5 linked regions of the Bombyx mori genome follow. The protein of the gene in region 2 purifies or fractionates together with the protein of the main gene of each other region. This does not show direct contact. Links are inferred from orthologs where the notes say so. Each region holds a gene or a part of one and is shown on either strand. Other genes may lie near its edges. The genes, in order: vesicle-fusing ATPase 1, Syx6, syntaxin-7, soluble NSF attachment protein 29 and vesicle transport through interaction with t-SNAREs homolog 1A.

Region 1 (6,426 bases), on a different chromosome or scaffold from region 2:
TCATATGGATCCGTTGATGTTCTGGAAGAGGAAATACATTCCAACAATAATAAAAAAAAAAATCCTAGTTATCATAGTTAACAAACAACACTTTTTAAGTAAATTAGAAAAATACAATAGATTTTTATTGATCAGTTATTTTCGAAGGCGTTTTTGCATCATATGCATGTGTTTATTAAATCTTGTGTGTGTTTAATCACATCTAGAACTCGCGGATAGCTATGCCAAAATAATGAACGTTTTTTTTCTATCGGTAACTTTACGTATGAAATATTTATGCAAGTGGCAAAATTCTTTAGTTGAATTAAATGCACTTCACTCTTCCTTCCTTTGAATCCCCAAATCTCAGGATCGTCAGTGCTATGTCAAAGGCACAAAATATATTCCATTGAGACAGCACAAATTTATAGATATTAGGTTTATTAAACTTTAAGCATTCCATTTTTCTTTACTAACAAGATCTTTGTATGTTCGTTCTAATTTCATACTTTATCTGCTATTATAATGATATTGGGTTGCATTAATTACTATGCTCATTTAATCACAGAGTTGAAAATAAATTGCTCCACCCAATCTATTAAAAACAAGGAAATTTTAAAAATTATTTTCAAATGATGACTGAAAAGTTACGTAACATCAATAAGTACTAATCAGATTGAATTCACACATACGTTTTCTTCATCATGAAATCGGCTTCCAACGTTACGCTGCAAAGGCATTCAGCACTAGAGGGTTTGAAAGGCTTCACGTCAATGGTCTGCATAGTAAAAAAAATATACATGGTTTATACATAGTTTTTTGTTCTTATCAAATTTCTTTATTTTCAGCCACGGACTTCCACCGCTGAACATTTGCCTCCCCCATTATATTATTATCTAATCGCGCTATTTAATTATACGTATACAAGTCTAGCGTGTATTTACATTTCGACTAATTAAAACATTTTGTATGAAAAAATCAGATTTGTTTTTAAAAATATTATATTATATGATGATAGGTGAGAAAAAAAAAACTATTATTTAAAAGTAGTTTTATTTATTTTAAGAAATGTATGCTTTACATTCATGATCACGGATGGCAACCTATCGACATTTAAATGGTGCGTTTATTTGACTTGTGATTTCATCTTCACGTTGAAAATATCCCAACTCTTAGTTACGTACAAACCATTTTTTCAGTGATCTACTTAACAGAGACATGTATGTGTAAAGAAATATATTTTATTATAAATAATAAATCTACTATTTTCATACAATAGTGTTCAGGAAAATGGTGTAGAACCCGCTTCCCAAAATACTATGTATATCATAGTTCATCCATACTATCTGGAATCACTGCATTCATCTAATTCTAGTATGTTAAGAAAGATTGTTTCCCCCCAGACTATCTGGCTTTAGAATGAATTCCTCACATAGGTATTTCTCAGACTTTTGTCATCCTTCTTCATGATAAGATTTAATGCAATCCTTCTATTGTAGTCAGTTACTTAGATATGCCCCCAGTATTACTGATGTCAACTGTCAGATGTCAACGGTGGATGACCATTCACCTACAATAACAAGTAAATATGTAATTAAAAAGCGTATTGATAGTGCATGTAAACTCACTTGACCGATAGAGAGGGTAGCCCATTTTCGCTGAGGGGCAGAAAATCCAACAGTGCCACGGTCAACTCCATTGTAGAACCGAATGCTGAACACAAAGTGTTGAGATGGTCCTGTAGATACTTCAATATGCCTGGTAAATGAAAGAAAAAGCTAAATATTATCTGTATATGAAAAATGTTTATTTACAAAAAGAGAATCCTTTACAGAAAGAGAAACTTTAGATATTCCGTAGCCATCAGAACAAAAAAGCTCTAGTTGGTACAAATTTTTCTTATGAAATACTTAACTAGTGCATGTCGTAAATCTTAAGAGATTCTCTGCAAACTTCCAATTGGCAAATTATTGGGTTTCCTTGAGACAATATTTAATTTTGAAGTCATTTGAAATGAGAAGCTATATGGCTATTAAATTTATAGAAAGCCCTGACCGAGGTACTTCAGACCTGGACAAACACTTGTACTTTACAAAACACTGGTCTGACCTTGCAAGAAGTCCTATTAGATATAGAAGAGGACTGACGGATCAGCCACCCTTCAGTTCATTTCTGCCAAAATGTAGTCACATAAATCTGTTTGAAGGCAGTGACAGCCGTTACACAATATAATTAAAATTTTGACCTCATATCTCATGGGGTATTGTAAAATTCACAGTGTAAGCTTATAAACTAACAAGAAAACACCAGATGGTTCTAGAATTTGTTTATCCAATTATACAAGTGACCCTCCTATAACACAGTAGATACATTCCTACAAAGTCCCATGTTGTGCGATACTGTATTATCTAGACTTCTAGTATTATCTAGACTAGAAGTAATTGTTCTGAATGAAACATTTCAACTATGCCTGTATGTACTTTTTTACCTGTTATACATAAAAACTGATTCTGATCAATACTGATAAACATATTAAAATTACATAATAATGATAGATATTTAATAATGTTCTACAAGTTATGTAGTCTTGCCCACTGTCACATCGACTTTGCAATCCTTCAGGCTATGTTCAGGAGTCTTCAGGAGTAAGTCATAGATATAAATAAGACTGATTATTGAAAATTTTATTACATTAATTTTTAAAAATAACTTTTAGCAGAAGCATGTGAGACTCCAGAAATTGTATAGTTTCTGTAGCTCATGTACAATGGCACTGTTGGAGGCAGATCTAAATTATAACAAATGATCGAAAAAAAAAACAAACCTCATTTAAAGAAAGAACTACTTATCATATGTATCTTTCTATACTTATATTCTATTATACTAACTTGATGTCACTTGGAAAGTCATCTTGATGTATTAGAGCACAGTTGGTGATGGCAAGCTCATCAGATGGACATTTGGCTGCTTTCATTCGCTGCAGCAAAATTATACTATTTTAAACTCCCACAATATATTGCCTAATAATAGTACATAATATTTATTATACGACTACAACTAAAAACAAACAGATTTTTTTACTTTGCAATTTTTACAAGTTACGATTTTATTGTAAACAATTTAACCTTTATTAGTTATTCATAGACTTATTAAATACGGTAGGATTCAAGTAAATTCATTTTAAAATTAAAAGGACCAATATCATTGGTTAAAAAAATAAATAAAATAAAAACTACTAATTTTTAAGAGACTGTACTGTGAATTAGAATTGAATTTTCAGTGGCCTTACAGAGTGTATCGTGGTATTAATAATTATTTCTAAATTAACTACATACATACCATTGAAGACATTTTTGCAACTTTCTTCTTTGATTAAAAACACTGCTCTAAATTTTGACAAATGATTCACGAAAAGTAGACTGATTTGACATCACAGTACATAAACTTACCGTCACTCTCGCAACAAATGACCGCACTGCATTGAATTAACTTCACTATCCATTGGACAAAGCGATCAATAAACAGTCAGTATTAGAGACGGCAATATGAGTCCTATTAATCCAAGAGTCGATTTTGTACAATCGATCGTCAATCGATATATAAATCACAGAATTGATGTCAAACAGTCGAAAATTGAATATATTTTTCCCTATTTCGGATTCAATTCGACTCATTCAGGACTCAATTCGTGTTAAATCATTAGAATTTCATTTTTAACCAATAGAAACCGAATGATGACACAATGTATGCTGGTTCTCTTTTTTAATTGTGTTAACATTTAATTGTGTCATTTGTGTGATTCATTGATTTTTGTGTAAGCTGAACAATGCACAATATGTTTTCCCGGTAAATATAATCTACAATATTAAACAGTTATGAAATTTTATCAGAGACTAGCTTTTGCCCGCGACTTCGTAAGTGCGGAATAGTTACTATGGCATAACGCTTAATTTTACCCGCCTCTTCATTTAACGTTGAAAATGAGAAATATTTTTGGACAATAGAATGTTAAAGAGCTATTTAATGTACCAAAATCACGCTTTTTAACCGACTTCAAAAGAGCAAGTTATCGATTCGACTATAATTTTTTATCTATGTACGTTCACCGATTTCTCGAGAATGCTTCAACCGACTCTGATAATTCTTTTTTCTTTATTTTTGTTCGAAAGGATAGAGTTCCCGAATGCGCCTGTTTACATCAATATCTGATGATGGGATCTTGGAGAAATCCAGAAAACTCTATAATTGTCAAAGTGTATCTTGAAGTGATTTGGGTGTTTCAATGTTGTAATGAATAACGTATTTATTTGGATAGGGATTAATATCATCTTTATAAAAACACCTTCACAAATAATACTTTATTTTAGAACAAATTCGGTTAGCATAAAAAACGTTATAGTGAGCCATCCTTAACATATGGACATATGCTGTCGCGGACTTTTTTTAAATCTTTTAAAGGGGACAATTCTCTTATACTTTAGCAAAACTTTAACCGTTTCCGTAGCGCACGCAGTGGAAGCTCTCAAAACGAAAAAAAGACCCCATTTTGAAACATCTGTGCTCCGCTTGTATTGGTCTTAGCGTAATATTATATAACCTTCCTCGATAAATGGGCTATCTAACACTTAAAGAATTTTTCAAATCGGACCAGTAGTTCCTGAGATTAGCGCGTTCAAACAAACAAACTCTTCGGCTTTATAATATTAAAAATATGTTATTATACAATGATAATATTAAAAGTATAGATAAAAAGGTTTGGATATTTAAAGAAAACCAGTCTTGAGGAATGTTCAAGGTTGACTTGACAGTTCATTTACTCCGCTCCGGTGACGAAAATTTTCGAAGCATGTTTGAATGGAGTTTATTTTTACGAGTTATACCAAAACGCACATTGGAGATTGAGTCGAGTCGAGTTAAGTCGAGTTAGTGTAGAGTAGAATAAAGTCTCTTTAGTCTAGAAATCGAAAAACTTAATCTTTGAAATTCGAATTTGCAAAGAAATTCTAAAAGTAATTTATATATATGAAAATAAATTGTTGTTCGTTAGTCTCGCTAAAACTCGAGAACGGCTGGACTGATTTGGTTAATTTTTGTCTTGAATTTGTGGAAGTTCAGAAAAGGTTTAAAAGGTAGATTATACATATCATTATACATAGGATACATGAAAATGCTCGGAATTAAATAAAAATAACACTTATAATTTCCCTTTGATGTGTCCCCCGCCCGACGGGTTCCTTTTGTTTGTTTTAAGTATTATTTGATACAAAAGTTTAAGTTTTTTATTTATCGATTGAGGCACTACGAAGTCTGCTGGGTCTGCTAGTGTATATTATAATTTTGAAAAGCCAAGTATGTTTTGCTTTTACAATATAATAATTCCTAATGATATAATATTTGCAATAACTAATGAAAAAATGGGCACTTCAGTAATTTGAGCCCTGACCTTCTTTTTTCCATTAATTTCTTAGATCGCTGGATGTGCCCACTGCCCATCTAGTGTTAAGTGGTTACTGGAGCTAATAGACATAGTCCAAATTATACTTTCCAAGCCTCACAATATGGGTCCTTTCAATATATTTATTTAAAGGCACCCTACAGTCCGCTCGTGAGCTCCAAGGATTCGGGGGCTGAGGAAGCGGGCGGGCATGCACCGCGCCCGACCATCGCTTCATACGCAGCACTCTCCCAGTACTAGTGTCGACCTTAACGTGAGAGTACGCTTATCGACTCGTCTTTAATTTTGCGATAACAGTGTTAATTACGTGTGATTTCTAATATAAATAGTCTTACACTTATAAGTATTTTTGTTTGCACAAATAGCTATTTCATTTGATGAAAAAGGAATGGCAAGCACTAGCATATTAAACATGTCTTAGCATTAGAGGAATATTACTGGCAAAAGGATGGCTTAATGGAGGATGTTGTCGAATCATTTATTATTGAAGTACGTGAGGAGAGTGACATCAAGAGGAGAGTACATCAAATTCTTCAACTACTGATTAATCTGATTGCGAGAGTAATTAACAAGATTTCACGTTCATTTTGTTCAATAAGTATCAGTACATTAAATTAAATTCATACGTGATCAATTGTTTTTTTTTTATTTCAAGTACATAATACCCTCATATTTTATAATTTACACTCGCACGGAGGCTTAAGATGTGTTAGTATCGATAGCGCAATATCGACTAATTACAACACTAGCTCATTACGTCAACATTCCTTTAAAAAAATCCTCGGAGCTCGCGCGCGGACTGTAGATAGTGTAAATTATTTACTGTTGAAAAAATCATAATGGGGTCGTTTTATTCACTTTTTTGTTTTTTCACTTGTAATCGCAGAGATAATTTAATCTCTGCGGTAACAAGTGAAAAAACCACTTTAACTACTCTCCACCTTTAACAATAATACTAACTCGGGGGAGTTCTTCACTGGCGTGGCTATCGT
Region 2 (6,428 bases):
AAACAGTGGACCAACCAATAATACCAAATTATTTTATTTTTTCTAAAATTTACATTTATTTGGAGAGTGGAGTGATGTAAGATGAACAATGAACTTAATATGAAACAAATGTGTTTATTGCTAATTATTAAGTTAATAAAGTTACATAGTATTTTTGGTAAACTATGATTGCCATCTTATTAAATAAACTTGAATCGTATTATGAAAACAAAGCACTTTAAGAAATAATTCTGAATGAAATCTATCATCTTTAACACTTTCAACTTCAAACTAACACACGATGAGTTCAACACGTGAAAGGTATATTGTTTTTGTAGGACGTCTGTCAAATCTAATCTATTTCGTAGGGAACACGTTTTGTTCAATGAATGTTGTAATTATATTTAAATACAAAACAAACTAGGTAAATTGTAGGAGATATTAATTAAAATAAAAAAAGAATTCGAAACATGTCTTCATTCAAAGATTGTAAAACTCATGTATTGTAATTTCAATATATTATTTTATAAATTTCTTAAGAAACTTACCTGTGTGACTGCCGCCAGGTGTGGATAAAACTCAGGTGCATCTGGATTAAGCGCGGAGTTCATTTTGATACGCAAATAAAAGAAGTGAACCGAAATCAAAATACGACGGCAGCCTTTGTTGAGCGAGCTTTGTGAATTGTGATTTGTGAATGCGATCTAAAGTCCATCAACTGTCAAGTCGATGTCAACTGCCAGTCAGTTTTTTTTTATTAAAAGAGCGTTGGGAATCCATCCCATGAATATTTATCTTTTTAGTAGGTAAAACTCAGTGTTACTTTTTAGACACGAAGACAAGGTATCTATCCTTTTAAGTCCAGAAGTACCTGTGATTGCTTCGAGGTAAAAAAATGCAGGATTGTGGAGCCTACTCATGCGAACTTCCAATACCCCTGCCAGCAATATCCACCCAACTTTTTAAATATTTCATTTTATTTTCATTTTACGATGCTACCCTATTATCCTGAAAATCATTTATGAACGTATCGATAACTCATTTTCTAAGAAAAAACGACCCTAGCCTTTTCGATACGCTCTAATAGCAGAAAATAGTTCCTCAAAGCACCCCCGCTGGAATAAATGGTAGCAACGCATATGTACTGACCTAAAATATCTTCACATACACATTCAGACACTAAATCAGAACTTTGTATTCCTAAATTTTGTTGTTGTTAACAATCCGGAATAAGAGTCAGCGACAGAATTAATTTAAGTTCACGTATTCAAGCTAACGATAATGATTTTTTTTTTGCTTAGATGGGTGCACGAGTTCACAGTCCACCTGGTGTTAAATGGTTACTGAAGCCCATGGACATCTACAACGTAAATGATGCCACCAGCCTTGAGATATGAGTTCTAAGGTCTCAATATAGTTACAACGGCTGCTCCACCCTTCAAATCAAAACGCGTTACTGCTTCACGGCAGAAATAGGCCGGGTGGTGGTACCTACCCATGCGGACTCACTGGATTGCATAATTATTATTTTTATAATTCAACAATTCTCCTTAAATAATTACAACGTAAAATATTTAGCTTTATAGTTATTACATAAGTCTGGTTCTGATTCTTCTTCTTTTCAGGCGTATGCACTCTTGGGAGAGTGGTCGTGTCGTGGTCATCAGTTCGGGTGCTGGTGCGCTTCACATATTGCTTCGGAGTAAGCATCTTTTTTAGGAAGAAAAATGTGATCAGGGTGTACGTGCAAACAGCTGCCAGAATTTTGTGCTCTATAGGTTTGAATTAGGAAGCATATATTGTACCATAGACAATAACATTCATAATGTACAACAATAACAAAAAAGTTTATAAATACAATAAATGTATGTACAAAATCACTATTTTTTTTCGAAGTTTTGTTTTATACACTGTACTATGATACATTTTATATTTAATTATTAAAATTCGAAGTGTATTAGTTACATACAGCTATATATTGTGCAGCAATACAAGTTCTAGAGTAAAAAAAGTGACAAAACCAAAACTGAACTCTGAAAGAAGGGAGGCAACGAGGTGGTAATAGATTGATAGTGTGGGGCTATTGTGGGGTGAATCTAAGCAGGGTTTGTTGTGAGTTCTCCCGCCCCGAAATAAGTCCTCTGCGGTTGCGCACTGCAGAGCGTTTTGCCACTCTGCGCTGTTTGCATTTTACATGAGCGAGCAAGGGATAGAGAATAAGGCTTCATCGAGCGAGCTTTAAACAGGGTAGGTATCACACTCGATATTCTGTGGGTTGGTCGCCAAGCCGAGGTATTGTACGAGTGTAAGAGAGTGTGCATTTATGGTTAAATTTACAGTTTAAAATTTTAGAAAATCCACAATCACATGGTTCTTTTAAAATTTTTGTTTTATTTTTTGTTGACATGACTTTAGAAGATCCTTTCTACGTCGTTAAAGAGTAAGTGGAGTAAAGTAACTGTTCATTTATATTAATAGATGGCATTGCAGCTAGGGTAAGGTAATTGTTTCCAGTGGGTGGTGCTGAATATTACATGATACTGTGTAGCAAAAAGCAAAGGCTGAAGTTAAGGTTTATATACGAATATTGATTTAATAATGAAAACGAATTTAGTATTGTGCATCTTTTTACTGTTAAAAATAAATGTAACACACTTTAAAATAATTAAGTGTCATTTGTGGACTATAATTAAGTAACATAAAAGTACGAAATCAACTCAATCTAGTCTAGTTTTACTTCTAAGACATCACCTAAAGTAATATCAGCTAGGAGGAGAAAAACTGACAAAGTACAGGTCTTGTTTATTCTTGTTTTTATAGCTATTTTAATAGCAAAATGAATAACTTTGTTTAAGTATGTGATGAGAAAGTTTAAAATTTTCATAGAAGATCCAATATTAATATTCTTATAATATATATACAGTATAATATTTATGAAACTTAAAATTTATTGGATTTAAATAAATTGAATATTTATTAAATTACAATTTTAAATATCGTTACAAAATGTCCTATTGCTATTGCACATCAAAATAGATACTTAGATTTTAATATTTTTTTTATTACATATTTGGGTGAACACACTAATTAACAACTCATTCAACTGTTATATTAAGTAATTGCTTTATTGATCTTCAAGTAGAAAGATCTTATGAGAAATAATAACATTTAACATTATGTATATGGCTATAGGATTATTATAAATAATTGTAGGATTAAATAGTAGGAATAGGAAGAATTAAATAGTAAATGGGCTCATACTTTGAGAACTATCATTTTTTATTGCCTTTGTAAAAAGACCGTATGATCCATCTGATGGTAATTAACCTTCATAAGCTATGTACATGAGCAATTTCAAGGGTACAGCCAAGCTGATGCCTAATTTTGAGGACACTTACATCTCGTTTGAAGAAAGACATGTCATAGCTGTCAGAAAACATGTTAGAGGGAGGTTCATTTCAAACTCAGCTACAGCAGTAAGTTTCTAATGACCAAATTTTGATGTTACTCCCATGACTTGAAGGTTTTTGACATGTTCTCAAGAGCTTTTGCTTCAAATTCGGACGAGGAATGTTAAAAATTCAAATGCTTTGTTGATTGTTGGATCAAATGATTGATTGAATGAAATGATTTGGTGAAATGTGATTAATTTTTACTGGTGGTAAGCGTCTTGTGAGTCCGCAGGGGTAGGTACCACTGGTAGGTGATTCTGTTTGAAGGGTGGAGCAGCCTTTGTACTTTAAAATTAAGACATTAGAACTCATATCGCAAGGTGGGTGGTGACATTTACATTCTATAAGCCTGTGGGCTCCAGTAACTATTTAACTCCAAATGGGACATGAGCTAGTCCACCCAAGTAATAAATAATAAAATAAATAAACAAATGTAGTACTTAAGAACGAAATTAACTTTTCTTTTAGACACACAATACTCAAGGAGTTTTTCAAAATATTTGTGAAACCCTATATATTTTGTATATGACATCAGCTTTGACTTACTATATTAACTTTTGGTACTTTTCTGACACAGTGAGGTGTTCAAAGCACTGAATAAGACTCGTGGTTTGTACCTACGCTGGCAGGAGATTTGTAAGACTCCAATAATTGCAAGTAGTCCAGAAGTAGAATGGACTTCGACTGAATTGAAAAATGCACTGCGCAGCATTGAATGGGATTTGGAAGATTTAGAAGATACAATAAATATCCTTTAAAATTATTTTATATTTTGTAAAATAGTGATGATGTATGTGTTTGTTGTAGATGCTTTTTAAATTGATAAACTTATCAGTTAAATGTTAACAAAAACATTCCATTAGATTTATTTGTGCTATCTCAAATTCCAACATTACTAATTTTCATGGTCCTTAATGTTTTGTTATTTCGGGTTATTTAATATATTATTTACAAATTCCTTACCTTCACACTAGCTTCTTAAAATTTTATTTTATAATTCTTTAGTTTGTCACATGAGTCCACTTGCTGTTTATTAGTCATGACAACAATTCATAGATACCATATCACATTATGGTGGCAATCTGCCATCACCTGCTTGGTGACATGAAGTAGAGATTTCAGTTGTATTATACAATGACTGTCTTTCCCATCAAGCAGAAATGCATGAAAGCTTTACAAACACAAGTAAGCAGTTCCCATTATAAATATGCAGCGTTCATATTAGAAGTATTTTACTCTGAGAAAACTTACACATCATCTTATCATTATTAGAATTCATTAATAAAATATCAATACAAGAGTACTTTTCTGTTAGGACATTCACATAATTTTGTATTAGTTACATGAATATTATGTTTATACCTTATTATATGGTCTATTATTCTAGATGAGCAATGAAAAGTGACAAGTTGCAATGTAATGAGATTTATTTAGACCCCAAAAAAATTGGAAAACTGAAAATATAGCGGTCATAGGATAGGATAGGTCATTCACATTTGAACTAACAGGCATACATGCTAATGATCTGTTTCGTGATCTTGCCCAAATTACACAGAATTCACCTAATATTAAATTGATATCATCAAATAGCATCGCTTAAGTTCTTGGGTTTAAAGGGTCATTGATTTGTATGTATGCATACAATAATAACTGTGATAAATCTAGCATCTTGTCATAAGACAATTTCGTCCGGTGGTGGGTTCGTCAAAAACTAATTTAGGAATAGAATAGAGAACAGTAACCTAGATCTTCTCTTACGTGAACTATATAAATGCGTCAAAATAACAAGATGCAAAGTGACATGATACAGTCCGCAAAAAGAATCTGAAAGTACTGGTTTCCGTTCAATTAATTTTTGACATTATTTGCCCAACTCTAAAATCAAATAACCATGGAGCTAGTAGTATCTTCATCGATATGTTAAGTTCGTCGTTGCATAGTTTTGTTTACAAAGGTTGGTAGTACACTCTAGGCCCTAGGCGAAAGCGCGCCAATGGTTCCGAAAATACTCGCGTAATCCCTAAAAACGAAATTAACATATATTTTTTTTATTACTCTTGTTTGTATTTATTAGTGATTCTCATTAATGCGCGGAATAGATAGAGTGGGATAAAAGGCATGCAAATTATAGACATATATAGTTACAAGAATTTCTTTTCAAAATTCCACCGCAAAACACGACGAAAATGAAAACTTATTCTACAAAATATTTATTAACTAGCTGACCCGGCAGACTTCGTAGTGCCTCAATCGATAAATAAAAGACCTAAACTTTTGTATAAAATAAACTTAAAACAAACAGAAGGGATTTTGATATTTATTTACCTTTTAAACCTTCTTTGGACTTCTACAAACAATTCAAGACCAAAATTAGCCAAATCGGTCCAACCGTTCTCGAGTTAGCGAGCGAGCGAGCGAGACTAACGAACAGCAATTCATTTATATATATATATAGATTGTTAGTTCAGTAATATATTTTATTCAAACAGGTTTATCATTTAGCATAAAAATGTTGAAGGATGTCTAATACAGAAAATTATTGACCAGTTGCAACGGACCGCTTAAAAAAATCACATTTCGTTGAGTCGCAACATATCACCTTTCATTGCTTACATAGGTAACAGTGCGCAATTTGAGTAAAATATAAATTTCTTAACCACATATCTCCAAGTATTGTAGAGAAGAACTCTTCAAAATTCAAGATTGACAACAAAGAAATTTGTGATAGACGAACCTTTATCGAAGCAACGAAGCAAGAAGTCAAGGTGTGAATAATATATAAAAAAAAACATTATTTATTTATTTATTGAACACCGGACAAAAATTACGAATAATTATGAATAACAAGTTTTGTATATACCGCAGAACATGAAGAGCAAGATGAGCTTGAACCGCAATCGAGACAATGACGGAACCGCTCGGGAGCCTCTACTTGGTGACGATAGTCCAATGAACTTTGGCAACAATTGGACATCCACTCCGAAATACACTAAATAT
Region 3 (5,231 bases), about 470 kb from region 2:
CGTATAGTCCCCCCCCCCCTTTTGGTCACGGTCATTACGCACCTTAGAAAAGACCTGAGTTTAACTGCAGCCACGTAATGAATATGCTATGCATGTTACGTAAGTGATAATAATATATTAATAAAGTTTATGACTAAATGATCGTATATATACAATAACAGCAGAACGCTGGTGGCTAAATAATGTACAAAAATCGAAGCTGCTTTCAAATGACGTAAATATCTATTTTACATGATATTATACTTTCTATATCGAGATGTCTTCAAAACGCTGCTACCAGTTTTGCTATTTATTTATTATAATAAAAAGCAATTAATAATCCCTTGTGTATATTAACGAACATAAGTTTTTTGTACGTAGTATTTTTTGCAAATTCATTTTTGTTGTAGCAAACGTTAAAGGAACAGTCCGAATTTTTTTAATATAGTCTACACATTATTGGTCATTAAAAAAAAAAGGTATTACATATACGACACATCGAAAACAAATTATAAACTAAACCTACGGAATTGTTTTGTGTTCTTACTTAGTGTCAATCCTTCTACATGATGGATTGCGAATAATTCTGTATTTTCTATTGTGTATCACAATTCACATTACAACTGTATATTAGAAAATAGTACAAAACATGTCATTATTTATTTTAATCCACGTATATTTATTTATTTTAAAAGACATTTACGTTTTTCAAAAGCAACGATATCATCTCGAAGCTGTGTTTAGTTGTGGAACAAAACGATCAAGATTATTGACACCACAATGATCAATATTATCGCCAAGTAGACTTTCTTCTTCCTCAGTTTGTTCTGGAAAAAAAAGTTAATACACGTAAACAACAAAAACGTACCACAAGTTTTCAATAATTAATATTTTTATCTTTATTGATATATAGTATTCTCGCATTAAAGCTGTATAATATCAAAACTTACTAATTTTACAGGAGAGTGTTTTAAAGGTCTATAACATGTGATATTTTTAATATTAATCATCTTTGCAACATTTTTTTATTTTATTTTTTACCAGCTACACTATGTGTCTTTTAAAGTAAGATAAAATTATGTATTAATTTTGTTAATAGTAGTCAAAACATAGGTAAAGTAAAAAAAAAAAAAAAACTAAAATACGCTCTTTGGACAGTATTTATGAGAAAAATACTGGTCATACCAAATGATTCCGCATATTAACTCAATTTCGAATATTTTTGGAAATTGTACTTTTAATGCGAAAAGACTATATTTCTTCTATGCGTGTGTTTGTCACTGAACTCCTCCTCCTAAACGGCTGGACCGATTTGAATAATTTTTTTGTATGCGCTTGGGTGGCGCCCTGGATGGTTTAGATTCACAAATCAGCCCGGTAGATGGCGCTGCAGTCGGTATCTAGACTATTTATCTATATTACAACTAAATGGCTGGACCGACTTAAATGATTGTTTCAGGACAACGTCTGTCGGGTCCGCTAGTCTATATATATATAAAAATCAATAGCTGTTCGTTAGTCTCGCTAAAACTAGAGAAATTTGTGGAAGTCCAGAGAAGTTTTAAAAGGTAGATAAATATGAAAATGCTCGGAATTAAATTAAAAAAAAAAAACAATTTATTTTATACAAAAGTTTAGGTCTTTTATTTATCGGTTGAGGCACTACGAAGTCTGCCGAGTCAGCTAGTATTATAATACATATGTCTGATGTATGTTTTTCTTTTTGTGTAATGTAGGTTACTGTTAAAATAAAGTATTAATATAATATTTACTTTGTAATTCCCAGCCTCCCGGAGTTGCTGTGTGGCGCTCTCGACGTTCTGTGCCGTGTATTCAACACTAGACTCGATGGAGTCCACAACTTCGCCTTGAGCGTGTATCATTGTACTCAGCTCTTTGAAGATGTCGTTAACGGTTAGTATGTCACTCTAAAACAAACGGTCAGATTTGATATTCCTTAAATACAATTACTTTAACTAGTGGCCGCCCAGTAGTCGAAATTCGACTATAATTATTAATTTAAATCAGGGGTTACCAAACTTATTTTGTCTACTGCCCACTTTGAGAATAAATTATTTTTAGCGCCCCCATTTTTTCAACTACTTCAAAACCACTATAGCGAGAGCTCAGCCGGTGTCTAAGAGTCTTCCTAGATGAAATTACAAATCGCCTCCCAAGCCTCTACACAACGCCCCCATTTTTTTCTGGGTCTCTTACCGCCCCCCTTTAGGCCTGCAACGCCCACAAAGCGGCGTTATCGCCCATTTTGGGAAAAGCTAATTTAAATTATAAGTTTTAACATTATGATGGTTCTATTGTCAATGAACTTTACTTCTATAACCACAGATTTCGCCAAGGGTACCTACACTATAAATAAGTAGTATGTATTAAAGACAAACAATATTAATCTATTCTCCATTTGACATTAATATAAGACATTACAGGCATTCATTTTAGAATTCAAATTCATTAAATTAATTTTTTGTTTTATTTAAAAAAAAACCTCTTTTTATCATGATCGATACTGGGCGAATAATAAAATTTAATAGATATGATTATGATATTTCTTTTGGAGTTTAGTTAAATTATGAAATATATATACCTCAAGTTGCCGAATATCTCTTTCGCGTTCCTCCAATTCGACGAGAGAACGTTCAGCTTGCATATTCATTTGCTCCTGCTTACGGACATCTGTCTCGGTCATCTCTACCAAATCTTTGTTACTGTCTACACAAACAACATCATAATTATGTAAATAGGTCAAATTTTCCGTATGTTGAAATTCTATGATTTTTTTTTATTGCTTAGATGGGTGGACGAGCTCACAGCCCACCTGGTGTTAAGGTTACTGGAGCCCATAGACATCTACAACGTAAATGCGCCACCCACCGCGAGATATAAGTTCTAAGGTCTCAAGTATAGTTACAACGGCTGCCCCACACTTCAAGCCGAAACGCATTACTGCTTCACGGCAGAAATAGGCAGGGTGGTGGTGCCTACCCGCGCGGACACACAAGAGGTCCTACCACCAGTAAAAGATGTCCTACCACCAGTAAATTTAATTCGTTATTAATTCAAATTTTTAGGAGACCATTTCCGAAGAGAAAACTAAAATTTTCTAATAGCCTGATGTACTGCTGGTCTAATCCAAACGCTATTTCAGGTCACACGTGGACTTGATTTGTAGACGAATAATAGACTACAGACTATTTGCAAAAGATCCCAGGAGTCGAAGCATAAGATTATTAATTACTGAACTATTGCACAAACATACTTGTTTACACACACACACACGCATACACACACTCGTTTTTGTTAGATTTATATTTCGTGTTCGTTCCCTCTAGAAAGTTGACCCCGAGCCTTAGTTATTTTGAATTGTATTAAATTGCGAGCAATACAAAAAAAAGGAATGGTGAAATTTAATTTCTCAAACGTGACTTATTCTTTCATGTCGTGCTAGGGATCGCCAGTTCTACTACTACCTCTGTCTGATGGAACAGTTCACGTTGTATTGTAATCTCTTTTCTATTTTGTAATAGATATATGACTTTTACTTTTTAGTACATACTTTTTTTACTTTAGTACTTTTAGTACTTTTTAGTAATGTGAGAAAAAGTTTATACTTACTCCCCATAGCGAAAGGATCCCCAATATTTATAGACTGAGCCTTTGCTTTTTTCACATCTTCTTTTGTCTTTTGCGCAACGAGTCGTTGTGTTGCCTGAAAAAATAAATAAAAAATATATTTTCTAGTCTAAAAAATAAAGATTGTACATATAATAGAATGTTACAAATACCAGCAAGTACACATTCCCATATTATAATATGTTTGGACTTAATAAAGGGTTGCTATACAGTTATGCTAATGAAAAAAATACTGCAGGACAAATAAATTCAAAACAAATTTATATTATGTTTTAGACGATTAGATTAAAATAAATAGTAAAAGAATTTTTTTAACCATAAAATTCAATGAATAACAAACTCTTGACTGTGCACTATTTTAGAGACGCGTCTAGCCGTTTTATATATTATCATTTGTAATAGATAGATAGATAATATATTATTATTTGGCGATACATAATGTTTGTAAATTATTGAATATTAATATTAATTTAATTTTTTAATTTTACTCCTAACGTTTGCGTAAACATTAAAACTTCTGAATTTCTGAAAAATACGAAATTCTGCATCACTCATCGCTAAGATTACTTATAGACAGAACTGGCCAATTACCTAATGCTTATAATTTTATCTTCTCATTTTCTTAAGAAATACTTGAATGAACTAGTCTTCCAAGCTATTACTATTTTACTCCCTATTACCTACTTAACATGAGTTATACTTTGTTTTCTTTTTTAATATACAATTTTTTTGTATACTATTATGCGCTATTTAACTTTCTATATCCCTATGTATGCTTAAATCTTTAAAGCTACGCGACGGATTTTGATGCGGTTTTTTAGATAATAATAAACAAATAAACAGAGTGATTGAAGAGGAATGTTTATATGTATAACTAGCTTCGCCCCGCGGTGTCACCCGCGATACGACAATAACCGCGGGTAACATCGCGGGACTCGGCTATCAATAATAAAATTTAATGTTTCCGAAGCGAAGTGAGGGCGGGTTAGTTAACAATATATTAATGTCACAATAACGATATTTAATAAATTAAGCACACACCTGGAAACTATTAAGAGTGGCAATATACTCATCACTGAGTCGTTCTCTGGTAAGTTTGTTGGCAGCGTTATCTTTAGGCATTCTCATCAACTCCATTAACAAAGAGGAAGTGTCCTTTGCCAGCTTCTGAGTGTAATTTTGTATTTGGCGTCTGTCATGAAAAAGTTATTCTTAAGTTAAGATATGTTTAGAAAACAATATGCTAAATCTCTATCAAGTATATTGCAGTTATAATTTCTAAGCTGATGATACTGCTTAATGTGAAATAAACAAGGCAAATTAATATGCCAATGTTTTTAATTAAATTAAACACAAAAGAAATAAAATGCAGAGTATGAAAGTAAAACTTACAACTGAGCCCTAAGCTCTTGGGAGTCTTGAGGTGTTTGTAACTGATTGACCATCTTTGACATTGAGGATACTGAAAAGAATTATGGTTCTGGGATGAGTACAACAAAATATTGATTAACATCTCCTAATTGTTAATTAAAAATGTAGTAGGTGGTATAATGTTACAACTTAATGGTTGCATCCTACTGTATTAACCAGTGATACTTTCATTT
Region 4 (5,848 bases), on a different chromosome or scaffold from region 2:
AACATTAACGAACAAACGATGAACAAATAATTAAAAATAAAAAAATCCGTAAATCAAAAAAAAGGAGGCCAAATTCAGTGAGCCGAGTATTACTTATCTGTAAGTAGTTGACATAGCACAAATATTAAGTGTATAATCTATGGACATAGACTGCACTAATTTATTTAATTGATGTGAATTTTGCTGTGAAAAATATGGTTGATGTTTTTGATAAATTTCCGTTTGATTTTTAGTACCTACCATTAATGATGGAATTCACAAGTCTAATAATACCTTTGTCAAAAAACATATGTCGGACTTGCTTAACAGAATCTGATTCTACAATGTTTATGAATGTTCAGGACTTAGTAGAACACGAAATGAGTAAGGTTAAACTGATCGATGTTTTAGTTTTCCTGAACTGTTTAGAGGTAAACGGTGTTTATCCCACTTTTTTGTTGCTACAATATTATGTATCTTATTTAATATTATTTTAATTTTCAGAATAATGACGAAGAGAATTGGCCACAAGGAATATGTTCGTCGTGTGTTTCTACAGCTTTGCATTCCTACAATTTCAAATTAAACTGTCTAAAAGCTAATGCAACCTTATCTCAAATGCTTATGATGCAATCTCTGACTAATCTTCACAGGACTGAAATAGAAAATATTGATATTAATGTTGTTTATCAAGATCATGAATATGATATTCCACTTTTCAATAACCATGCTTCATTAGACTTTGAACCATTCTCATCTAAAGAGTTAACGCCTTTACCTCCTGTTACTGTAATTAAATCAACTGAACAACCGCCTAAAAAAGAAAGTGAAAAAAAATACACATGTACAGTTTGCTCTAAGTCATTTACAAGAATATATGGTTTAAGGTATCACATGACTAAGCATGCTAATGTGAAAAGCTTCTTGTGTTCCAAATGTGGCAAAACATTTCACAACTCTGGATGCTTACGCCAACATCTCTTGAGCCACAGAGATATTGCTCAGTTCAAATGTGGTTTTTGCAACAAAACCTATAAATCAAGGCAGTCATTGAAAGAGCACTTTCGAGTCGCTCATTCGAGCAACAGTAAACTGTTTGTATGTGTTACATGTGGAAAACGATTTACAGCAAAATCAACTCTAGTCATGCACATGAAAAGTCATACTGGAGTAAAACAGTTTGCTTGCCCTAGTTGCCCTAAAGCTTACACCAGAGCTATTTATTTACGGGAACATAGCATAGTTCATACTGGCCAACAGAGACCAAAACCATTTAAATGTTCCAATAAAGACTGTGAAAGAAGCTTTGCCACCAAACATTCATTGTTGGTGCATTTTGCACACACTCACACGACAGAGAGACAGCACAAATGCACAACTTGTTTCAAAGGTTTTGCAACAGCCTCAGGCTTAAAAATGCATATGGAATCTCATGCCACTGTGGAGCTCCATTGCAATATATGCGGGAAGAAACTGTCAAATAAAAGAGTTCTTCAAAAACATATAAAAACTCATAATGTTGATGCCAATGACATGATATTGGAAACTGTTGTTGATAATACTTTCTTCGAACAAGTATTTGATGCAAATATGTAAATTACTATCTAGAATTTAAAAAACTAAAGAAAATAAAGCATTTGTGATTTGAAATATATTTATTAATGGAAACAATATAAAATAAGTATATATAATAATAATGACTGTTTACACTTATCGCTAGGTTCTTGGATATAAATGAAATTATTGTTAATGGCAAACATTAACTCATTGATAACAATATTAGTATGTATGTACCTTACTTTATGATGCAAGAACATAATTCATGATGAGGTGTCTGGAACTTTCACCCATTTAAAATTTGGATTAGTTAATAGAACATAGGTACTTAAAGTAAGTACTCACCTTATATTGGTTGTTTTGCCCTAATATTGTTTTATTTGCACACAAGTCTTATTTATATATATTTAAGTGTACTTAAAACTTTATCTTAAAATAGTGAAACCTAGCTATTATACTGTAACTGTCTCTAATTGCATGAACAACAATTAGAAACAAATAGAAGAAATTTGTCATGATAAGTTGCTAGCCAAAAAGATAACACATTTATTTAAAGATTACAAGATAATTTTTTTTACTATATACTGTGCACAATAAAGTTATGAAGAATGAATGAAGGTTATGATGATCGAATATGATACAGAAAAGGTTTACCTAAATAATATGAATCATACACCATTTTATTAGATGTAACTAAGTGTACATGATCAGCTAACAATGGACAGTATCACACAAGAACCATTATTACATACTATGAAGCTTTATAAAAATGCCAGTCAGCTCAGCAGTGGTGACGAATGTATAGAGCATTAGTATGCAGTAAGAAGCCTTTCAGACAATTTACATTACTAGTAGGTTTATTATATATGGATTTTTCCTTTACTATGAAATCCCCTTTTTACACCATGTTGTTTATCAAATTGCTGCTGGTCATGTGATTCAAATAAAAAATAATCTTATCAAACTTTGCCATACATTAGTATTCCTTATCACACAAAATGATTACACTACTGAATTTTGCAAACCACTCACATTAAAAACATGCTAAATCTTTATAAACAGATACATTTAATAGATTAATAGACCCTTTTAGTTGTTGTTTAAAATAAATCTTTAATTTGCTATAATTATTGCTATTTCCCAAGTAGTTTATTCATTTGTTTATTTTGTTTACCAATCTTGATATCTGCAATCTCAACTTTGTCTTGAATAGTATCCACGAGGTTGTTTTGCTGTTCTATCTCTTCACCAAGTGCAACTCCTAGATGTTTGAGCCGGGATATAGCATGCACCATTTCATCCAAGTTCGAATCAAGTATATTATTTACTCTCTCGTTTTCTGTTTCAGGACTCTTAGCGCTTTCTTGAGACAAACCATGTAGGCGTGCTGAGGGATGACTCTCAAAGCGATCTTCAACGTTCCTAGACATATTATCTAGGGTTTCATCAAGCCTGCTACTACTTGTACCAGCATTACGTACATTCGAGGTCGCTGGACTTTTAGATGGTGTTTGATCACTTTTTCCGGAAATATAATTCTTCAGACCATAAAATACAGACTTTATACCATTTAAATGTTTTTGACTATAGTTTAAATTGGTGTTAATCTCATCAAGTCGCCTGTCTGTGTTCTGTAGCTGTTCACGTTGTCGGGAAAGCTCTTCGGCCGTTGCAATACCAATTTGTTCAGAATCACGAAGCAATCCGATACTTCTCGTTGATGAATCTATTGTCCGTTGTTCGATTTCTCTTTGTGTTTGGATCATAGCTTGGCGTTGACGTTCCAGTTCTGCAATATGACCTCCATAAGGCTTATTTGCTTGCTGTGTTTGAGGTATTCTTGACCGGAAGCGATCTACAAATTCGTTATCATCGACGTCGTCATTTTCGAATAGGTTGTTCGGATTTGTGAAATATTTATGCCCAGACATTGCTTAAAATGTAATTTACTACGTAGGTGTGTTCTCGTTACTTTATTGGTGATGTTCAAAAAGAATGCACTTGAAATTATGGGGGTGGTAAGCACAGATAATACACAATTATTATGGTAGGTATGTACCATAAATGTTTATTTTAGGTTTAATTTATCTGATACGACGAGCAAAGGGATGTAGCCAAATAAAACGATTTTTTTAAGTGTCTGTCTAATTGAACAAAAAAAGTCAATATGCCACGTTCCCTTTGCCTTTCCAATTGAACAATTGAAACAAAGTTTAGCTCTTTGATCAACTTTGATGCGTTTGACGTATGAAGTGAGTCGTGGGCAAGGTCTGTATTTGAGAGCTTTCTTTCTATTCGCTACAAATTTATTAAGTCTATCATCAGAGGATTGCTTGAAAACTGAATACCTACTCTGTTTTTAATATAAGACAGTAAGTATTGTAAAAATGTTAAACAGTTCTAATTTATAACCTCAACGCGAGGACAAGTCAACTATTTATTACTAATTTTGATGTTTATTTAAGATATTTAAGAAAATAAATTACCATTGGAGTCAAATAATGTTCATTTGGAATTAACGAAGTTTTCTTTTACAGAAGCATTAACTAACTCTTGTAAATATGAGTCGTTTCTTTGCAACTGGGACGGACTCGGAGTCAGAGAGCAGCAGCGAGGACGAGCCAGTAGTACGCGCCCCCGCGCCAGTTTACACGGTAAATTTAAAATAAATAATTGGGAATCAAGGAAACAAAATTTTCAATTTATAGTTTAAAAAAAGATAAATAGTTTTTTAAGTTACCAAGGGAGACTAACATTAATCTCATGTAGGATGACAAGATATATGAAACTTTTTTTCGGTAATCAGCAATGCAATTAGCAAAATTTTGTAACTCTTTTAGAAGTTTTGAAAAATGTGATCCTTTAAATTCTTTCCTAAATGTCCACTATCAGTAGCTAATAGAGGGGGTAGCGATCAATAATGTATTTCTGCTCTGCTCGCAATCTGCTATTGTGCCAGCTTACAGCTTTCTAACGACTTGTCCAAAAAATTGAATGGGCAAAGGGAACAGCCATATTTTGTAATGATTGTGAAATTATTTTAATTATAAATTTTATTTCTTGTATTCAGTCATCTTTGTAAAATATGGTATAATATTATTAAAACATTTTTAATTCATAATAAATAAGGTATGACATAGGATTCAACCCATGTTAAATTTAAAATATCTGAAAAAATCCCACAAGTTACATCTTGGCAGGACAAAGGGTTGCTCGTGCTACTCTTTCGTTCCTAAACTCTTAGTAGACTTGTTGGTCAACTGGCATACTGCTTGAAAGATAATTTGGAGTAATATAATAATATACATGGATAAATAATTTAATAGTAACAATAGTAAGCCACTAAAACTTCTATTTATTTCAATTATGAGTTTAATAAGTGCATCTAGTGATTGGCATATCAATTTGTTATTAATTTGTCTTGACTTGTATAACAAGATGCTTTGATTCCGGAATAGTACAGTGATGTGAATTAGATATGTGTTGTTCAATCAATTTTAGAGAATCAGATCAATACTGACCTGTTGACAAAATGATCCGGTTCGTTCGACCCGTTCAGTCAAACGTTTGGATTTCCGTTAATCACACCAATTTATGATGTGATTAATATTATCAGGTCACTGGCTGAATGAAGTTTAGTATTGAATAACAGTTTAAAGGAACTGTTATAGTTCGATTGTTTAGGTGAGATAAAAAAAATTCAAATACGTTATGCGTCATTATGCGACAGCGAACGTCTAACCGAGACGGGCGCGGGGCGAGACCCGGCAACCCGAAATGACCCGAATGACTGTTGCATGGTTCTTTTCTTCTGATTCGTAGGTTTTGTTAAACGGGTCAATCTAGTGAACGACTCATATTTTTTGAAATGTTCGCGCGGATTTTGAAACCCGGGTCGTTTGGTTCGTTCGTTGGCGAACGACACATATCTAATGTTAATTGTAATAAACATTAAACATATGCTTCAAATTTTAAAAAGAAAATGATCAGACTAAAAGTTATAAATTGATTGGGAGATAAGAGTTGCTGTGTTTTTTTGCTAATTTTTTTTTTGTTGTCATCTTTTAATATTGTATATTGTTAACAGATTAAAAATCTTAAAAGTGCGCCATTGTGGGAAAATTCTACAAGATTATAATTACAATTCACAATATTATTATAGTCCCAAGTCATTTCAGTAAATTGCCTCTATTTTGAGGTATGCACTCAGGATAAGTGAACAACAGGAAGGTTGCGTATACTTGTGTAAGAAGAGCCTGCGCTACCACGGCATGCATGTTTTACATGTCTTAGTTTTGGTCTTCAAATGATG
Region 5 (6,172 bases), on a different chromosome or scaffold from region 2:
GACATTTCGTCACTAGCAAAATTTATAATCGGCAGCACTATTTTAAGAGATCATTTTAGTGATTATTCAGATAAATTTAGCAAGTTTTCAAATTGAAAAACTTATAATTTATTGAGATTAACTATGTTCTATTTAAATTAGTAATACACGTGACCGTTTATTTTTTGTGTAACATTTTGTCCAACAATTGTAATTATTTTAAAAACTATGTTAACATAGGTATTTAAGAAGTTAATATTTACAAGAGTTTTTTTTTTTAAATTATATTTTCAATATATTCGTAGATACATTATTAACCTTTAAATTACGTCTATATAAATAAATAAAAAATCAATTATAGACTTACAGAATAGCAACAGTGAATACATTTTATTTGTTTGCAAGTTATATAATGCAAGTTAATTTTACTCCCTTGGAAGGTGATTTAGCAGATTATAATAATTTATTAGCTACAGGGCTGCCATAAGCGATTACCTTAAAACTATTTTTTTTTATCCGGCCTGTAAATATGTGTGCTTAGTGCGAGTTTTTTAACGTTCTCGATAGCGTAAAAGTAATTCAAATTTGTATGGAGTTGGATCAGCGCCCCTAGCGGCAAACGTAGGCAAACATTCCAACTCTATACAAATTTGGCTAACTTTTACGCTATCGAGAACGTTAAAAAACTCTCACTAAGCACACTGGTCAGTATGTGACGCGAGACAGAACTATGTACTTCACTATGAAGAACTAATTTGATTACGTGTAGATATATCGTTCGTGTCATTTGTGATCGAAGTCGATTTTTAAGCATTACATACTAACGTCACGCCCAAAGAAAATATGCTTAGGACAGTTTTACGGTTTCATATTATGTAACATCTTCTCGAAGGTCAATCCTAGTTTGAGAACAGGTACGTTGAGTATTCGCTCGAGCGGCAGGGCGGCGCAGCGCTTGCGGGCGCCGCACGCCGGCCAGCATCAGGACAGCGCCAGGTAGAGCGCCAGCCCCGTGAGCAGCGCCAGCGCGCCCAGCGCCGCCAGCAGCAGCGCGCGGTGCCGCAGCGCGCGCGCCGACATGCCCGCCGCCACCCGCCACGACCGATCCAGCTCCTCGTCGGTCTCGCGCAGCTACAATATCCAATATAAAGCATTCACACATTTTTAGAGCTTGAGATGGGTCCAGATTGGGCCCGCCTGGGTTTAAATGGTTACTGGAGACATCTACAACGTAAATGTCGCCACTCATCTTGAGATATAAGTTCTACATTATGTATGTATTATATATATATATATTTTTTTTTTCACTGGATTGGTACACCGCGCGTAATTCGTTTCCAAATGATTCTTGTCCACCTGATGGTTGTCTGGAAGAGATCGCTCTTAGCGATAAGACCGCCAATTGTACTTTTTGTATTTAATGTATTGCACTGTTTATTTGTTTTTTTGGTGTACAATAAAGAATACTCTCTCTCTCTCTCTCTTCTAAGATCTCTCAGTATAGTTACAACGGCTGCCCCACCCTTCAAACCGATACTCATTACTGCTTCAAGAAAGACCAGTAAAAAATACCATTGTTATCATTTTAAAAAGAACCAGACTAATAAACTCATTAGCTTTATTACTACATTTTAAGTATTCTCTCTATTAAATTTCTTTATTTCATAATTAATGTACAGTAAATAGTTCATTTGGATCACCACACCACTTCATAGTATTATCAGATAACGATATTTCTAAGCTCACCCGAGCGCGCGACCGCTGTATGGTCTCCCGCTGTACGCTGAGATCCTGCAGCACAGCTGCTCCCACCTGCAAAAAATTTTTATGCGAACAATTCACGATTGTATGTGAATATGTGAAAACATTGTATGAACTGTACATACTCTGCTTTTGAAAAAATGTTAATTATTGTACAATGAGGTTGTTAGGAGAGTATTAACTATGATTGTAGAAGGCTTTAGAGAAAGAGGTAGATGTAGACCTAAGAAGAAATGGTATATGATAGAGGAGTATGAAAGGAGAAAACATATTGCGCCGATCCCGGTTGACTGGGAGAAGGGCAGGAGAATGATGATTGTACAAAATGTACCTGTTCAGTCTCGAGTAGGACTCTATATCCTTCAGACAAAACTCGGCCTCCGCGTTCAAGGCGCTCTGAGTTGTCGAGCAACTGTCGGCGCTCATCGCCCGCACCCCAGTCCTCGCTCTCCGACACCTCACCCACTACTGTACAGCACATAATAATATAATGGTTGTATTAGTTTAATAAAGGTAATAATAATCCTTATCCATTTTTTTTTATTGCTTAGATGGGTGGACGAGCTCACAGCCCACGACTTTAAGTAGTTACTGGAGCCCATAGACATTTACAACGCAAATGCCGTCATCATGCCCCCACCCACCTTGAGATATAAGTTCTAAGGTCTCAAGTATAGCGGCTGCCCCACCATTCAAACCGCAATTCATTATTGCTTCACGGCAGAAATAGGCACAGTGGTGGTAGTTACCCGCGCGGACTAAACGGAATCCTATAAAAATTCGATAATCGAAATATCCTATAAACGGAAAGGGTTATTATAAATACTGAAAAGGGTTATCATAATCGTGACGTGGCAAATTATTCTTCATTGATTCCAAAACGAGACAACGTATTTATTGATAACTCCAGTTTTTTATAATTATTCAATACTGCAGGTATGCCTGATTGTACATACATGCCTAATGTTTTATACTAGATAAAGATCATCTTACACTGAATGCTTTTTCATAGTGAAAAAACAATATTATTATGTGTTTTATTCCTATGTTGTCTAGTTTCCATGATCGGTGCAATTTAAAAAATGTGTTATTAGTGAGCACTGATGATACCGAATCAATATCTAAAACAGCCTCTATCTATCTATCTATCTCTTAGGTTTATGGAGTTTCCTTTTAGATTTCGCCAATGTCAAGTGTATATAATACTCTGCTTTCTATAGCTGGCTTCGTGAACGAGCAAGGTCACAGATATTCACTAAGTAAAACAGAAACAAATTTTAACTTAAATTAAATTATGCCTTTAAAATTATTCAGTCTCCAATTGATACAGTCAAGTTTTTATAAATAAACATCTATAGTATAGACAAATAAATTTATAATCAAATTACATAATCAATTGTTTTGAGTTGTTCAACAAGAAATTTAAATAATCATTACACAACTTACAATGTCCATTGGTTCCGAGTGTAGTTTTGAACTGTTGTTTGACTCGCTGCAGTTCAGCACGGTAAGCAGCTACACGGGGACCTCGTGCTTCCAACTCCAACTGTTCCAACTACAAATATTTCTGCCATGAAGAAATTGTTAATTGTGATTTGTAGGGGAATTATGGAAGTCTAAGTACTGGTGGAGTTCACTTAACATTGTCTTTTGCATACCATTCAACTCCCATTGGAATGTGAGCTTGAGTAAACCATATTTTGCAATCAAGAACTGTACACTTAACATTCTCTATATTGAACTTACCAAATCATTTGCCTCTTCAAAGTTTGACTGTATTTCTCTTGATAATTGTTCTCGGTTTTCTGTGTATCAAAATAGTTTAAATTAAAACATTGTCTATGCGCACACTCTTTCAACCTAATGACAATTGACAAGCCTGCAACATGCGATCAACTCATCTTAATTAGGACTACAAGCTTTAGATGGGATTTTCAAATGTAAATATTGTGACTTTGAGAACTAAATTTACTACACTAATTAACTTTGAGGAAATAAATCAAGAATGAAGAGAATCATAGGTGTGGTTTCATGGTTAAATCAAAGGAACACTTATCTGTAACCTCTATATCTATTATTGCATTATCTTGCTCATATTTTGTTTCATTTTTCTATTATCATGATATCGAATTTAAAGATTTTTAAATCATGATGATAAACTGCGAATTGAGAACTTATTGCAGCTAGTTTTCTTCCCTACCTGCAGTGCCATTTTTTAATCGTCCTATTTTTGCGGTGATGTCGGCAGTAAGCACCGAATATTGCTGCTCATAAGATTGCACTAATGTGGCCATCGTCTTAATTTACCTGGTACCTAAACAGCATTACATTACATTAACAAGTAAAAATCAATAATAGTTTAGGTATCGATTTTTATGAGCCTTGATAGATATGATGGTTCTGTAAATTGATATAGTAATTTCTGATAATAAATAAATAAATGTATGAATACAGCCTCGTTAATTAACAAAGGTGAAATTATAACAGATTAAAAACAACGATACAGGACAAAAGGAAAACATTAAGCATAATTTGCCACCTGATACTAAGCAAACGTGAATTGTCAAGTGTCAATCAAGTAGTAGTTTCATTTTTCCAAGTGGAAAGGCGAAGGTATCACACTATACAGCCTTATTTTTTGTATGATGTTTAGTAATCTCTTTCATGAAAAATAATAGTAGGGAGCGAAATGAAATGAAGTTGATTGTTTTGAGATATTACTCAATCGAGATTAAAAGAAATGAGATGAGATGATATGGGATGAAATATAATCTCAATTAAATGGTGGAAATCTACTGAGACATTTTCAGTGAACTTTTTGGAAGATCCCGAGAAGCTTCGTCCAGCGGCTTTGTTCCATTTTCCCACATTTGTGCACTTTCACAAGTATTAAACAGCTAATAAACCACCGTTATTACACATTTAAATCTGAAGAAATGAGACAAATAACACCATAGGTGTTAGTTAGTTAAGGAATGATTTATGGAATGGATGGATGGAATAGCCTCTCAGTAAAATACTTCGAATTTATTCAGAGTTTAATGGACTGAATTTGTAATAATAATTGAGAATCCTTTTTAAATCATCACAACCAATCAAAATTATTACTTCCCAATAAAGCTTTTCATAAAAATTAAATAGCCTTCGACCTTTCGTAATAAATTTTTTGCTGTAGATGGGCGTTATCTCCTTTGTCTAATCATTGAATTTGATAAAACAACAATTGATGTTGAAAGATTGAATTTTGCTTTGAAGGAAGCTGTTTAAAAATAGCGATATGAAACTACGAACCAATGTAATTTGCATTTACGAAACATAAAATTGGACTTAGGTGCTCAAATTGCTATTGGCATAGCAATAACAGTTGTTAGAAATGTGATGTTGACTTGAATTAACAAGTTCAAATATTGACTCACAATTTTTTGTAAACAAGGGATTTTTAAAGGTAACGTACCTACCTGCTTACTATATTTTTCCCAGTATGCTCGTTGACTACTATAATTCATTACGAATGCAGATCAAAAATCCATTTTAAAGATCGAGGTGACCATTAGGAGAAGTATGTGCAATCTAGGATGCAGTCGCTATATTTTCTCGTACATAATTTCCCTTATAAAATTTGCTTTCTCTTTGTTTTTAAGGCGAACCGTTTTATATATTGAGAATCGTTTGTAGACTATGAGGTTTATGATGATCTTAAATTTCCTAATAGTGATCGAATGAATGTACCTGCTGATACCTATATGTTATCGAAAATCCCGAAAGATGTTTGACGCGAAAGTCGAGTTAATTTCGTTGCGTAGTTTTCATGTAACTATCTATTTTTTCAAGGGCAACCAATAAGCTAAATACCAGCTATATAATGATTACTGGAAAGCTAACTGTGAAAATGGATGTCAATATGACTGGATTTATACTTAGTTAACTTTTGAGGTTTCTGAGGATTAGTCCAGTGTTGTACAGGACAATAGGATATATTTTGATGTATTAAATCTGTTTCCAATCAATGATGCAATTAAAAGGGGCTAGGTGTGGTAAGGTTTATGGAAAAAAAGATATATCGATAGGTTTCAAGAAACATATAGGGTTATATTAATATAATATATACTAATATATAAATCTACAGTGGTTTTTACGGATGTTCCGTTATAATTACTGAATCATGCATCCGATTGACTTGATTAATGGATAGGCTAATATTTATGGTGTTGGACTCCCTAATAATAATGACAATAAATAATAATGTTAATTTTAAATGCCCAGCTAAGCAGGCGAATACGTCTAGTAAGATTATAAAGCTTAATCAGCAGATGGACGTTTGTCCAATTACTCTGCTTTAAGACTTGAATATATGATATTGAGGGACGAAAGACTATTTGGTTAAAGTGACATTATGCAACTTTATTACAGAAGAGCCATTTAAAGTTAAAAA

Evidence for each region.
Region 1: the proteins of Syx6 (region 2) and vesicle-fusing ATPase 1 purify together in Homo sapiens (affinity purification with mass spectrometry; 3 studies listed by BioGRID and IntAct, with this or other methods). This does not show direct contact. The link is inferred for Bombyx mori from reciprocal best matches to the Homo sapiens genes STX6 and NSF.
Region 3: the proteins of Syx6 (region 2) and syntaxin-7 purify together in Homo sapiens (affinity purification with mass spectrometry; 3 studies listed by BioGRID and IntAct, counting the BioPlex papers as one, with this or other methods). This does not show direct contact. The link is inferred for Bombyx mori from reciprocal best matches to the Homo sapiens genes STX6 and STX7.
Region 4: the proteins of Syx6 (region 2) and soluble NSF attachment protein 29 purify together in Homo sapiens (co-immunoprecipitation; 3 studies listed by BioGRID and IntAct, counting the BioPlex papers as one, with this or other methods). This does not show direct contact. The link is inferred for Bombyx mori from reciprocal best matches to the Homo sapiens genes STX6 and SNAP29.
Region 5: the proteins of Syx6 (region 2) and vesicle transport through interaction with t-SNAREs homolog 1A purify together in Homo sapiens (affinity purification with mass spectrometry; 3 studies listed by BioGRID and IntAct, counting the BioPlex papers as one, with this or other methods). This does not show direct contact. The link is inferred for Bombyx mori from reciprocal best matches to the Homo sapiens genes STX6 and VTI1A.

Annotation. Positions count from the first base shown.
Region 1 is NC_085128.1:5,787,519-5,793,944, forward strand, and holds the start of vesicle-fusing ATPase 1, read right to left. Parts: upstream 3,498-6,426; 5' UTR 3,331-3,497; coding exon 3,319-3,330; intron 2,957-3,318; coding exon 2,868-2,956; intron 1,738-2,867; coding exon 1,608-1,737; intron 758-1,607; coding exon 672-757; intron 22-671; coding exon 1-21.
Region 2 is NC_085107.1:6,216,094-6,222,521, reverse strand, and holds the start of Syx6 (syntaxin 6), read left to right. Parts: upstream 1-2,384; coding exon 2,385-2,419; intron 2,420-4,008; coding exon 4,009-4,179; intron 4,180-6,101; coding exon of another isoform or gene 6,102-6,102; coding exon 6,103-6,196; intron 6,197-6,296; coding exon 6,297-6,428. UniProt on the Homo sapiens protein: SNARE promoting movement of transport vesicles to target membranes. Targets endosomes to the trans-Golgi network, and may therefore function in retrograde trafficking.
Region 3 is NC_085107.1:5,745,507-5,750,737, reverse strand, and holds the end of syntaxin-7, read right to left. Parts: intron 5,090-5,231; coding exon 5,020-5,089; intron 4,820-5,019; coding exon 4,669-4,819; intron 3,704-4,668; coding exon 3,610-3,703; intron 2,707-3,609; coding exon 2,582-2,706; intron 1,908-2,581; coding exon 1,659-1,907; 3' UTR 1,597-1,658; downstream 1-1,596. UniProt on the Homo sapiens protein: May be involved in protein trafficking from the plasma membrane to the early endosome (EE) as well as in homotypic fusion of endocytic organelles. Mediates the endocytic trafficking from early endosomes to late endosomes and lysosomes.
Region 4 is NC_085122.1:5,756,396-5,762,243, forward strand, and holds soluble NSF attachment protein 29, read right to left. Parts: upstream 3,468-5,848; coding exon 2,670-3,467; 3' UTR 1,616-2,669; downstream 1-1,615. Other genes in the region: gastrula zinc finger protein XlCGF57.1, read left to right, coding at 246-410, 484-1,575; eIF3c (eukaryotic translation initiation factor 3 subunit C), read left to right, coding at 4,098-4,190. UniProt on the Homo sapiens protein: SNAREs, soluble N-ethylmaleimide-sensitive factor-attachment protein receptors, are essential proteins for fusion of cellular membranes.
Region 5 is NC_085109.1:1,648,007-1,654,178, forward strand, and holds the start of vesicle transport through interaction with t-SNAREs homolog 1A, read right to left. Parts: upstream 4,293-6,172; 5' UTR 4,035-4,292; coding exon 3,941-4,034; intron 3,546-3,940; coding exon 3,487-3,545; intron 3,296-3,486; coding exon 3,187-3,295; intron 2,209-3,186; coding exon 2,072-2,208; intron 1,792-2,071; coding exon 1,726-1,791; intron 1,111-1,725; coding exon 961-1,110; 3' UTR 1-960. UniProt on the Homo sapiens protein: V-SNARE that mediates vesicle transport pathways through interactions with t-SNAREs on the target membrane. These interactions are proposed to mediate aspects of the specificity of vesicle trafficking and to promote fusion of the lipid bilayers.